Cricetulus griseus: one gene and its partners. The protein of the gene in region 3 purifies or fractionates together with the protein of the main gene of each other region. This does not show direct contact. Links are inferred from orthologs where the notes say so. Each region holds a gene or a part of one and is shown on either strand. Other genes may lie near its edges.

Region 1 (3,649 bases), on a different chromosome or scaffold from region 3:
GACTTAGGAAGAGCCTGCTTAGCTGGGTGGTGGTGGCGCATGCCTTTAGTCCCAGCACTCGGGAGGCAGAGGCAGGCAGACTCTGTGAGTTCGAGACCAGCCTGGTCTACAAGAGCTAGTTCCAGGATAGGCTCCAAAGCCACAGAGAAACCCTATCTCCAAAAAACAAAAAACAAAACAACAACAACAAAAAAGAAGAGCCTGCTTTCCCTTACCCAGAAAGAAAAGAAATAAAAGTAACACATGGAGTAACTCAGGTACATGCATATACGAGTCAAAGCTTGCCCAGTATAATTCCGGTCATCCAGCTCCTTCTGTCCTCTAACCCTTCAAGGAAACTGTTGTAAACTTCTGTGTGTATTTTGCCAGAAAGTTTAAAAACAGATATTATTTGCTAGAGTATATATGCATATTTATTCTTTAAGCAAGGACATTTTACACAAACTTAGTCATACTTTTACACATTTGGTGACTATTTTTCTCATCATAGCATCATTAGAGAACCTAACAAATAGCACACTCACTTAAAAGTGTATATCATTTGATTTGTTTTTTAAACAAAGTCTCATTATGTAGCTTTGGCTGGCCTGGAACTCGCTCTGTAGATCAGACTGGCCTCAAACTCTGAGATCTGCCTGCCTCTGCCTCCTGAGTGCTGGGATGAAAGGCAAATGCAACTGAACCTGCCCTTAAAAGGGTGTATCTTTTTAAAAATTACTTAACATGTCTGCTATTGGTCATAGAAATTGGGTTTAGTTATAGTTTTGGTTTTTTTTTTTTTTTTTTTTTTTTTTGCTATGAAACTGTCGTGTATCTAATTTTTGTCATCAGTGTACATTGATAATAAAAATCAGAACTTTGATGTTTTGGCAAATTGTATATTATTATTCAAAGCTTCTAGTATTTTTATTACTCAAGGCTTAAACTTTTGTTAATTTTTTTGTAATATGACTATTAGTTTCATGCGTTTTATTTATTCATTCTCTTATTTAATTAAATTATTGTTTTAATTGGGAATATTGCTATGGAGCTCAGTAGACCTTAAATTTATCCTCCAGCCTCAGTTTCCCATGTGCTTGGTTGGATTACTGGCACCTGCCACATGCTGAGCTAATTTTAGGCAACTTAGATTTTTTTTTTAATGTGTATGTATGTGATGAGCCTTCATGCACACACTACATGTGTGAAGGCCAGAAGAGGGCATCACATGCCCAGTACTGGAGTTAAGGTGGTTGTGAGTTGCCATGTGTGTGCTATGAACCAAACCCAGGTCTTTTGCAAGAGCAATAAGTACTCTTTATCACTGAGATGTCTCTCTTGCCCCCATTTTCATACAGTGAAAATTGATATATGACATATTCATACTCGGAGTGAGCTAACAAAATTTTATTTTTTTTATAAATTTTAATTTTTTATTGATACTTGTAATATATATTTTACTTCCAACAACATACTAGCAAAGACATTAATAGATAACATGAAGAAATAGAAATTACCAGGTGGTGGTGGCGCACGCCTTTAACTCCAGCACTTGGGAGACAGAGGCAGGCAGATCTCTGTGAGTTCGAGGCCAGCCTGGTTTACAAAGCTATACAGAGAAACCCTGACTCCGGAAAAAAAAAGAAAGGAAGGAATAAAGCAAGCAAGCAAGCAATAGAAATCACTGTGGTCCTTCTGGTGAATGTTCATACAAGGACTAGAGATTGTGACTCAGTGAGGTCCCAGACTCAGTATCCAGTACCACACACACAAGGGTGTTCATTCAAAGAAATGTTATACCTTGATAGACAGAAATTATAGAAAGTACAAATCAAAAGGTTTTGTTTTTCACATAGGCAAAGATGGGGACTGGGTAGTTGGCTCAGCTGAGGTGCTTGTCTTGCAGACATGAGGACAGTCTACATGCCTGGTATGAGGGAAACTAGTTCAGTCCTGTCACATTAACTCAGTATACAGATATGAACAACAGTGAAATGAAGTTTTCTTGATAGCAGTTTGTTTTTATCTTAATATTGGGCCATTTTATATAGATGTAACTTTTTGTACATGTATATAAGAAAAACATGAGATACATGAAGATGTCAATAGTATATGTTTTGATTAATATAATTTGGAATTTTGGGGGTACTCTTATATTTTATGATTTTTTTTTGTAGTTATCCCTCTTTATTTTTTCCCTCAAGATAGTCCTGCCTTATTTCTTTCTCCTCCCCTTCCATTTTCCCCTCCTCTCCCTTTCTTATTTCCTTCTTTCTAATATTGTCACATGGCTTAAATTTGAAAAGACAAGAGAATCAAGAGAAATTTCCCCTTATGCCTGTCACCTAATTCTAATCTAAAAGCAGCAGGAAATGCCATTGCTTTGTTCATCCTTCTAGAAATGCTTCATGGCTAATGGCACAGCTACATCAAACAATATAAATATGTTTTTCTTGTTTATTTTGTATTGGGAGTTCTTTCTCATTCTGAGTCAACTACTACAATTTCTTTGAATATAATGGTTTTGAATATAACTTGTAATTCCAGCTACTTGGGAGGGTGAAGCGGGGGATCACTTGAGCCCAAGAGTTCAAAGTCAATATGGGCAACATAGTGAGATTCCTGTGTCTTGGCAGGAAGATAGGTTGTGATTATAAATACAGAAGTATTTGTTTTCTCTATAAAGTATTAGCTTTTGGCTTTAGCGATCTTTTTACAGTTCTGAGATAATCTTAACTTTATTCCTTCTATTCCAGAATTGGCTCACATTTCAGTTTTGTCTGTTTTCAGGGTAAATCCTGCTATTTTTATCATGGTGTCCATAGAATTAATAATCAGCACACATTGCAGTCCTTTCCGGGAATGTCCAAAGCCTGGGACATAGAAGAGCTTGTCAGCCTCGGGAGGAAACTGAAGGCATGTCCCTACTACACAGCTCGGGAACTGATAGATGAGGCTGACATAATATTTTGTCCCTACAACTACCTCTTGGATGCACAAATACGGGAAAGTGTGAGTATATGTGAAAATTAGAACTTTCCCCTACTTATGGGATAAAAGTGATGAATGTAAAGGCTTTTAGATGTTTTATGCCTTTCCCCCTCTGTATTGAATTTATGTAGTGCACTGAAAACATGTTCTAAGGTGAATTAAGAAGTGACTTTTAAATCCAGTTATTCTAATTTCCAAAGTAATAAACAGTTAAGGCTCTAATGGACTGAAACGGAACTGTAGTGTGTTCCTTAGGCTTGACTTGAGTCTTCACATTAGTCTGGAGGAATCTTGGCTGTGATGGGATGTCTCTGCTTTGTGATGTTTAGAATCCTTACAGTTGTCACTGTCTGAGATACCTCTAGACATTGCCCAATGTCCAAATTACCCCCGTGGAACAAAATTGTCCCCATTGAAGACCATTATATAACTGTTGTTCTCTCCATTTATGAAGTTGAGAATTATTTAAAAACATTTCTCTGGGGGAAAAATAACTGTTTTTGAAGAAGTTATATTAAGAGGATAAGTACTATGAAAGTTGGGCTTTGTGAATTTTTTTTTTTTAAGATTTTATTTATTAAGTATACAGTCTCTGTCTGCATATGCCCTGCACGCCAACAGAGGGCACCAGATCTCATTCAAGGTGGTTGTGAGCCACCCCATGTGGTTGCTGGGAATT
Region 2 (3,633 bases), on a different chromosome or scaffold from region 3:
CAGCCACTGCTAGAGGATGAGGAAGGGAGCTGGCTTCTATTGTACCTGAAACCACGAGCACTGGCATCAATCGTTTGCCTTCCCTCTACATGTGCATGGCCACACTTCCCTCGAGTCTGTGCTTTTTCCACTGCGACGTGTTCTTTCTTTCAAAGGCAGTGAGAGCTTATCTCCTCTGTTGCCACTGGCTGTCAGGGACAGAAGCAGGAGAGGTAATGTGTGACTGTGGTCATATGATGGCTAGTGGGCGTGAGTAACTGCTCGAGTCATGCCTGGCAGTCACTCTGCCTCACCTTTCGTTGAGGCCACTTCTGAGCTTGGCTTAGATGGAACTGACGCTTTCTATACCCTCTCTGTAGCATCTGACTCCAGACAAGATCTACCATGTGACAGTGATGCCCTGCTATGACAAAAAGCTAGAAGCATCTAGACCTGACTTCTTCAACCAGAAGTACCAGACCCGTGACGTGGACTGTGTCCTTACAACAGGTGCAGGCACTATGCATAACTCTACCCTCTGCTGTCTTTAGGGCTCCCCTAGAGCCAAGCACTAGAGTCCAGCAGATAGCCGGGCCTTCCCACAGTGCCTCCCAGGATCCTGTGACCAATGGAGCCCCTGTAATATATTCTTGCTGGTTTAAAAATGAGTCTTGAGGGCAAACAAGGTCTCAAGTCTAGTCCCTGTGGTTCATACCTTCACCCCACTTCTGAGTAGAGTAGCCTGTCCTACTGAAGAGTCAGGAAAATAAACTGTTTAGAAGACTAAACAGCCTGCCCCTGGACTGGCAGAGTGGCCCTGCCTTTACAATGCTCCAGGAAGGAACACCTTCCAGTAGGTCTGCAGAGGCTGGCTAGACTCAACCATCCCACCACAAATGGGAGTGAGTGTCCCTCTGGGGACAACACATACAGCTCAGCATTCTGAGGCCAGCTAGAGCATGTGATGTGTTCTCTGTAGGAGAAGTCTTTAGGATGCTGGAGGAAGAAGGAGTGTCACTCTTGGAGCTGGAGCCTGTGCCCCTGGATGGCTTGTGAGTTGGTGGTGGGGACTGAGAACCTTTATTTGGGATTAGATGCTGCCTGTGGGGTGGGGCAGTGTCTTGTCCCCTCCTTTCTACCCAGGCTGCCTTCTGGCTGACTCCAGACCTCCCCACAGCCTGGCTGGGGCCCAAGAGTGGCTGAGTTACAGTGTCAAAGCAGAGCCTGCTCTAGAAGCCATCTGAGCTTCCCAGGGCCACCATAAGAACAGTTCTTAAGGTCTGACTACAAGAGCTGTATTGAGCCCCAGCCTCCTGCACTGACCCGCCCCTCTCCCAGAACCTGTAGTGTGTCTGCTGAGGAGCCCACCAGCCATCGGGGTGGAGGCTCAGGAGGCTACCTGGAGCATGTGTTCCGGCACGCAGCCCAAGAGCTCTTTGGAATCCATGTGGCCGACGTTACCTACCAACCCATGAGGTTAGTGGGGCAAGCACTGAAGTGAACTTGGGGGAAAGACCCCTGGAACTCTTGGGTCCCCTCTTACAAGCATGAGGCATGAGCAAACAGGCCAGTGTACTGTCCTCAGTTTCAGCAGGGACCCTGAGCCAGGGCAACACACACAAGGACTAGCAGGTGCCTGGCATGGGTATAGCACCTGGGGCTGGGGTGTCACACTTTGCTGGGCTTCATGGCTGCCCTTGGGAAAAACAATCCTGTTAGCTAAGGAGGTCAAGGTTGGGGTGAGGTTACCTGGGCCCATGGATGCAAACTGTGTCCCCCTCTCCATCATCCCTGCCCTGCCTGCAATCGGAAAGGGACAGAGTCAGATGGTGGTGTGCTAAACCCCAGGAGGCGTCTGCACCTGGGCAGGGACAGGTTTGCATGCAATGTGCAGTTTCACGAGCCTATTTCTACGCTTTCAGGAACAAGGACTTCCAGGAAGTGACACTGGAGAGGGAAGGCCAGGTGCTGTTGCGCTTTGCTGTGGCCTATGGTTTCCGCAACATCCAGAACCTTGTGCAGAAGCTGAAGCGAGGTCGCTGTCCCTACCATTATGTGGAAGTCATGGCCTGCCCTTCAGGTAGTTCCTCCTAGTCTAGCACAGCAGCCTGCCACCAGTGGAAGGAGGAAGGGGTTGGACAGGAGGGGGGGGCAGGTCCCCTCCCCACACACACCCAAGGGTTAGAGGGCTAAACCCTGACTTCCCACCACCATGCCTGTGCTCTGCTACAGGCTGCTTGAATGGAGGGGGCCAGCTCAAGGCCCCAGATATGCAAGGCAGGGAGCTCCTCCAGCAAGTGGAAAAACTGTACAGCATGGTGAGGAATGAGGCACCCGAAGACGCACCTGGGGTCCAGGAGCTGTACCAGCACTGGCTGCAAGGTGAGGGCTCCGAGCAGGCCAGCCGCCTGTTGCACACACAATACCATGCCGTGGAGAAGACCAACTCGGGCATCAGCATCAGGTGGTAGGAGGCCTTGAGAGGCTGTGAGAGCCCCAGGGGCCAGCACCAACACTCCCAGGAAGACCATGTGTGTATCAGCAACGGATTCCACACAGAGAACACACTGGAGACCTTCAAAATTCAAGGAGAGCTACAAGGATGTGTTGGATTGTGTGCTAAAGTGGGGCACTAGCTGCATGTGGGTCCTTGGCAGTACATGACCTGCGTGCCTCTGGTTGGTAATGTTGCCATGGCCCATGCACCTCCAGATTCCACACTGAGCTCTGCAGGGTAGAAGTGCAAGCAGGGTCCGGGTAGCCAAGGGGGCCAAAGGTTCAATGAGGTTCCAGAATCTCTTCTACTGGCCTAGGGCCATGGGCATCTTCCCTGCCCAGCCCTCTGGGTTATGAGCACAGTTTCATTTCTGTGGCTAACTCCTGAAGCTAAAATGTATAGGGCAGGTATCAAGCCTGAGTCTAGTGGGGCACCTGATCCTCTTAAAAACTGGCTGCTTGCTGGGGCCTTGCCGTTTGGGCAGTCTGTCAGCACCAAGCCTGTATGGCTGTGAGAAGTCCATAGCTGAGTCTCACTGAGCTTGTCACTCACCCAGCCTCACCACTAATAAACAGGTCTGCACTTCTGGAAGCATCTGCTGCATGTCTGACACCACACTGAGCCTTTCAAAATTTTATTCATTCCCCTTCTCAGTCCCCAGGACACATATGTCTCAAGGTCCACAAGAGTGGTACCATGAGCAGTAGAGACAAGGACAGCACCGTTTGCTGGTTCTACAAAGCAGGGTGGAAGGCCTCAGAGGGATGTTCTGGGGGCCAGGGTTCCAGTCAGCCTGAAGTTCAGGCTGGAACTGAACTGAAGTCAGTTGCTGTCCGGAGAAGGGGTGTGAAGACAAGCAGGCTCATTTTTCCTGGGGCGTACTCAGAAGTCCCCACTGCAAGGCCAGGAGTGCCCGGACCTGGGGCTGCAGTGGCTCCAAAGCAAGTTGGAAGCGTGCTCGCTCCCTGCAGAGTACCTCCAGGACCTGGGCAGGTGCCACTTGGCCTGTGAACTCACGAACTGGATCCTCTCTACAGGGAAGAGTATGCTGGGGAATTGTGGGGCTGGCCAGCTGCCCATGAGGGTGGGGCCCAGCAGGGCAGTGGATGGAAGGAGGAGGGCCCTTAACAAATGCCCTTCCCTGGTGCCAGGGACAT
Region 3 (3,649 bases):
TGCATTCATATTGGCTTACGCTGTATAGCTGAAAACCGGTCAGTGCTCAACTTTTTGTTTTTGGATTTTTGAGAAAGGGTCTCTTAGCCTGGGCTGGCCTTGAATTCCTGATCTTTTTACCTCCACCTCCCAAGTACTGAGATTAGTCCTTTGTTGCCACTCCGGACTTTGTTTTAGGGGAGGGTATGCTGGAAATTGAATCTAGAGCTTCATATATCTTAGGTAAACACTGATCCACTGGGCTACATCAGCCTTGTGCTTTCTTAAGAGTCAGGGTAAGCTGTTTTCTGTGCCCTGGGTTCTTGACTGTTAGGACACCTGGAAGGTTTTCTGCTAGAGTCTACCTCATTCAGAGTCTACCATTTATCCCAGAGCATCTTGAATGTAAGTTTGCTGATGCCTGTGGTTTTCTTGGCAGAATGCTTGCTGTTCTGTGTATGGACAGAAGGAACTGAAGGACTTCCTCCCCAGCCTTTGGGCTTCTATCCGCAGAGAGGTGAGTGTTAGGTTAACTCACTGCTGTTAACTGACGGATGTCAGACATGAGAAGTAATGTTCCTTCTTTGCCCTCTTCCCTATCTCCCCAGGGTCAAGGTGCTATGTTTCTTTTATTTCAGTGAACAGGCAAGTGGATAGATAGACTTCCACTTGAATGGCAAGGGAGACAGCTCCCTTGTGAGGGCTGCCTGCTTGGTGATAGTACAGACCACCTTTGCACAACACCTACTTCCTGCCTCTCGTGGCAAGGAGCCTAGGTCATTGTGTTTCTGGCACCATCTAAAAGTAAAGGTAGCGAAAAGGACTTAAAATAAGGTTACAATAACCTCAGTTCAGAGTTGGTAACTTGTTTCTACAAGATGTATGTGTCATTCCTATTGGGACAAAAACTTGTTGAACCAACGAAAAAGATACTAGGTTGGGAGTTTTAGCTATCATTGCTGTGCCCCAAACTTTCTCAAGCACATATCCTTCTGAGCCCAAGAAAAAAGGTAGTGGATGGGTGGGGCCTCATCTGGTACAAGCTCACCTTAGTAGCCATGGGATCCCTCCCTGACAGGTGTTCCAGACGGCAAGTGAGCGAGTAGAGGCAGAGGGCCTAGCAGCCCTCCACTCCCTGACTGCGTGTTTGTCTTGCTCTGTGCTGAGGGCTGATGCCGAGGACCTCCTTGACTCCTTCCTCAGCAACATTCTACAGGGTAATGGGACCATGGAGGCTGCCAGCAAAGGGAGTGAGCACCTTAGAGCTAGCATTCCTTTAGGGCCAGTGGCCCTTTATGGGTGGCTCCCATGTGTTCAGTGATTTGGGGGCTGCAGGCCTACTTTGTATTGAAGACAATTAGATGGTAACTGCTAGCAAATAATTCCAAGTGTCAGTCAGCAATCCCTATGGATAAAAGGGAATCAGGCAATATTTGACCTACTCTCCAGGTCTGTGATTGCTGCCTCTCTAGACTGCAGGCACCATCTGTGTGAACCAGACATGAAACTGGTATGGCCTAGTGCCAAGCTGTTGCAGGCTGCTGCAGGTGCATCTGCCCGGGCCTGTGAGCACATCACCAGCACTGTGCTTCCCTTGCTGCTGGAACAGTTCCACAAGCACAGTCAGGTAAGGGATCAGGTGGGACTTGGTGCTATGGTCCTTTTCTTGGAGAGATTGAAGCTCTAGTTTGGGCCCAGATAGATTTGGGGTTTTCTCCTGTTAGCAGCTGCTTTTCCACTTGTTCATTCTCACATACATAGTCTCAGTCTTACATAAAAAGTTAATTCTTAGAGTATCAGAACTGAAATCCGTTAAAATATTCTTTGACCCCAGTACTCCTTGAAATATTGCAGAGCAACCAACGGCGAACAATCCTTGAAATGATCCTGGGTTTCTTAAAGCTACAGCAGAAATGGAGCTATGAAGACAAAGGTGAGATCACTTTGAAGATGAGTTACCCTGGGCAATTGTTGAGTCCTATTGCCCAGGAGTACAGCAGCAGTGTGCCACAGAGTAGTCTAGGAGAGTGGACCTGTTCAGAGCGAGTTCTTAAAATCTGCCCTAAGTTGTCTGCAGCACTGTAGTCAGAGATGGGCTGTAAGCCCTTCTGACCTGGCCTCTGTCTCTTCTAGATGAAAGGCCTCTGACTCGCTTCAAGGACCAGCTGTGCTCATTGGTGTTCATGGCTCTGACAGACCCCAGCACCCAGCTTCAGCTTGTAGGCATCCGGACACTCACAGTTTTGGGTTCTCAGCCAGGTATGTCTTGAATGAGAAAAGATAAGGATAAGGATAAGTATTATCTGTCTGAAGTGAAGAGCAGTGATTTCCTCTTCATTGCAGTACTGGATGGTGTGAATTTCTGATAGGATTTCTTGGAAGGGTGGTGGCTACAAGGAAGGAAAGATGAAGTTTGTTCTTTCTAACTACAGATCTCCTATCTTCTGGGGACTTGGAGCTGGCTGTAGGTCACCTGTACCGACTGAGCTTCCTGGAGGAAGATTCTGAGAGTTGGTGAGAATCTAAAGCAGTGAAGAAGAGCAAATGTTTCCCTAGCTTTGTATCAGCAGCTGTAGCAAAGGCCAGAGTGTACACTGAGTGGTTGGGAAGATGTGGGCTACTCTCTCTTGTACCCAGCTGGGCAGTGGTGGTGCAGGCCTTTAATCCGAACACTTGGGAGACAGAGGCAGGCGGATCTCTGTGAGTTTGAGGCCAGCCTGATCTGCATAGTGCATTCCAGGACATCCAGGGCTACACAGAGAAACACTGTCTAGAAAAAAAATGATGATGATGATGACGACAACCTATCAAACTAAGTGCTATAGGACTTGGGTCTTGCTCTTCAGCAAAGTAGACACAAGAGCCCATTCTGATCTTACTGCTGTCAGGTCTTGGGAAGAGAATGATGGGCCAAAGCTCAACTAATACTCCTCTTTGTCCCCAGTAGGGTGGCAGCACTGGAGGCATCGGGAACTCTGACTACACTCTATCCTGGAGCCTTCAGCAGCCACCTGCTACCCAAGCTTGCTAAAGAGCTGCATAAAGGTACATGTGCCAATCTGTTGCCCAATCCTTTCCAGCAAGGAGGGCCTTCACACCATCACACAGTGAAAACTTAACTCACCAATTGCTTTCAGGGAAGTCGGATGTTGCTAGAGAGGATGGTCTCATGAAGTGTTCCCGGCATTTCTGCTGTCTGCAAGCTTTGTCAGCCATTTCAACACATCCCAGCATTGTCAGGGAGACACTGCCTCTGCTGCTGCAGCGGCTCTGTCAGGCAAACAAGGGTAACTACCAGTGATGTTTTCAAGGGGTTCGGGCTGAATGGATGGATCCCTGGGCTAGGAACTGTAAAGTTCTAATTGTAGTTGTTGTGCATGTACAGCAGTAACATGATAAGCTTTTTAAAAATCAGTACCTAGTAATTATAGTAATATTAATATAGTAACACCATAAGTAGATACATATTTATGGTTGTACAGTATGATGGTTTAATACAAATACACCTAAAGAAAGAAAGTGCATCTATCAGCTCACATATCTTCCTTTTTTGTGTCTTGGGTGTGTTCTGAATCATGTCTATTAGGTACTTTGTAGTATTCAAGAAACTGTTGTTATCAATAGTTACCGTATTGTCTCCTGGGCCTGGGGAGATGGCCTGGTCAGTAAA

What was found. The genes of interacting proteins can lie anywhere in the genome.
Region 1: the proteins of Mms19 (region 3) and Brip1 purify together in Homo sapiens (affinity purification with western blotting; 3 studies listed by BioGRID and IntAct, with this or other methods). This does not show direct contact. The link is inferred for Cricetulus griseus from reciprocal best matches to the Homo sapiens genes MMS19 and BRIP1.
Region 2: the proteins of Mms19 (region 3) and Ciao3 purify together in Homo sapiens (affinity purification with mass spectrometry; 3 studies listed by BioGRID and IntAct, with this or other methods). This does not show direct contact. The link is inferred for Cricetulus griseus from reciprocal best matches to the Homo sapiens genes MMS19 and CIAO3.

Annotation. Positions count from the first base shown.
Region 1 is NC_048600.1:99,407,119-99,410,767, reverse strand, and holds part of Brip1 (Fanconi anemia group J protein), read left to right. Parts: intron 1-2,769; coding exon 2,770-2,991; intron 2,992-3,649. UniProt on the Homo sapiens protein: DNA-dependent ATPase and 5'-3' DNA helicase required for the maintenance of chromosomal stability. Acts late in the Fanconi anemia pathway, after FANCD2 ubiquitination.
Region 2 is NC_048600.1:45,400,810-45,404,442, forward strand, and holds the end of Ciao3 (cytosolic iron-sulfur assembly component 3), read left to right. Parts: intron 1-359; coding exon 360-489; intron 490-958; coding exon 959-1,031; intron 1,032-1,317; coding exon 1,318-1,455; intron 1,456-1,901; coding exon 1,902-2,059; intron 2,060-2,211; coding exon 2,212-2,450; 3' UTR 2,451-3,067; downstream 3,068-3,633. Other genes in the region: Haghl (hydroxyacylglutathione hydrolase-like protein), read right to left, coding at 3,339-3,507.
Region 3 is NC_048596.1:19,594,186-19,597,834, forward strand, and holds part of Mms19 (MMS19 nucleotide excision repair protein homolog), read left to right. Parts: intron 1-418; coding exon 419-496; intron 497-1,057; coding exon 1,058-1,196; intron 1,197-1,428; exon of another isoform or gene 1,429-1,451; coding exon 1,452-1,606; intron 1,607-1,833; coding exon 1,834-1,912; intron 1,913-2,112; coding exon 2,113-2,238; intron 2,239-2,411; coding exon 2,412-2,493; intron 2,494-2,923; coding exon 2,924-3,024; intron 3,025-3,116; coding exon 3,117-3,266; intron 3,267-3,649. UniProt on the Homo sapiens protein: Key component of the cytosolic iron-sulfur protein assembly (CIA) complex, a multiprotein complex that mediates the incorporation of iron-sulfur cluster into apoproteins specifically involved in DNA metabolism and genomic integrity.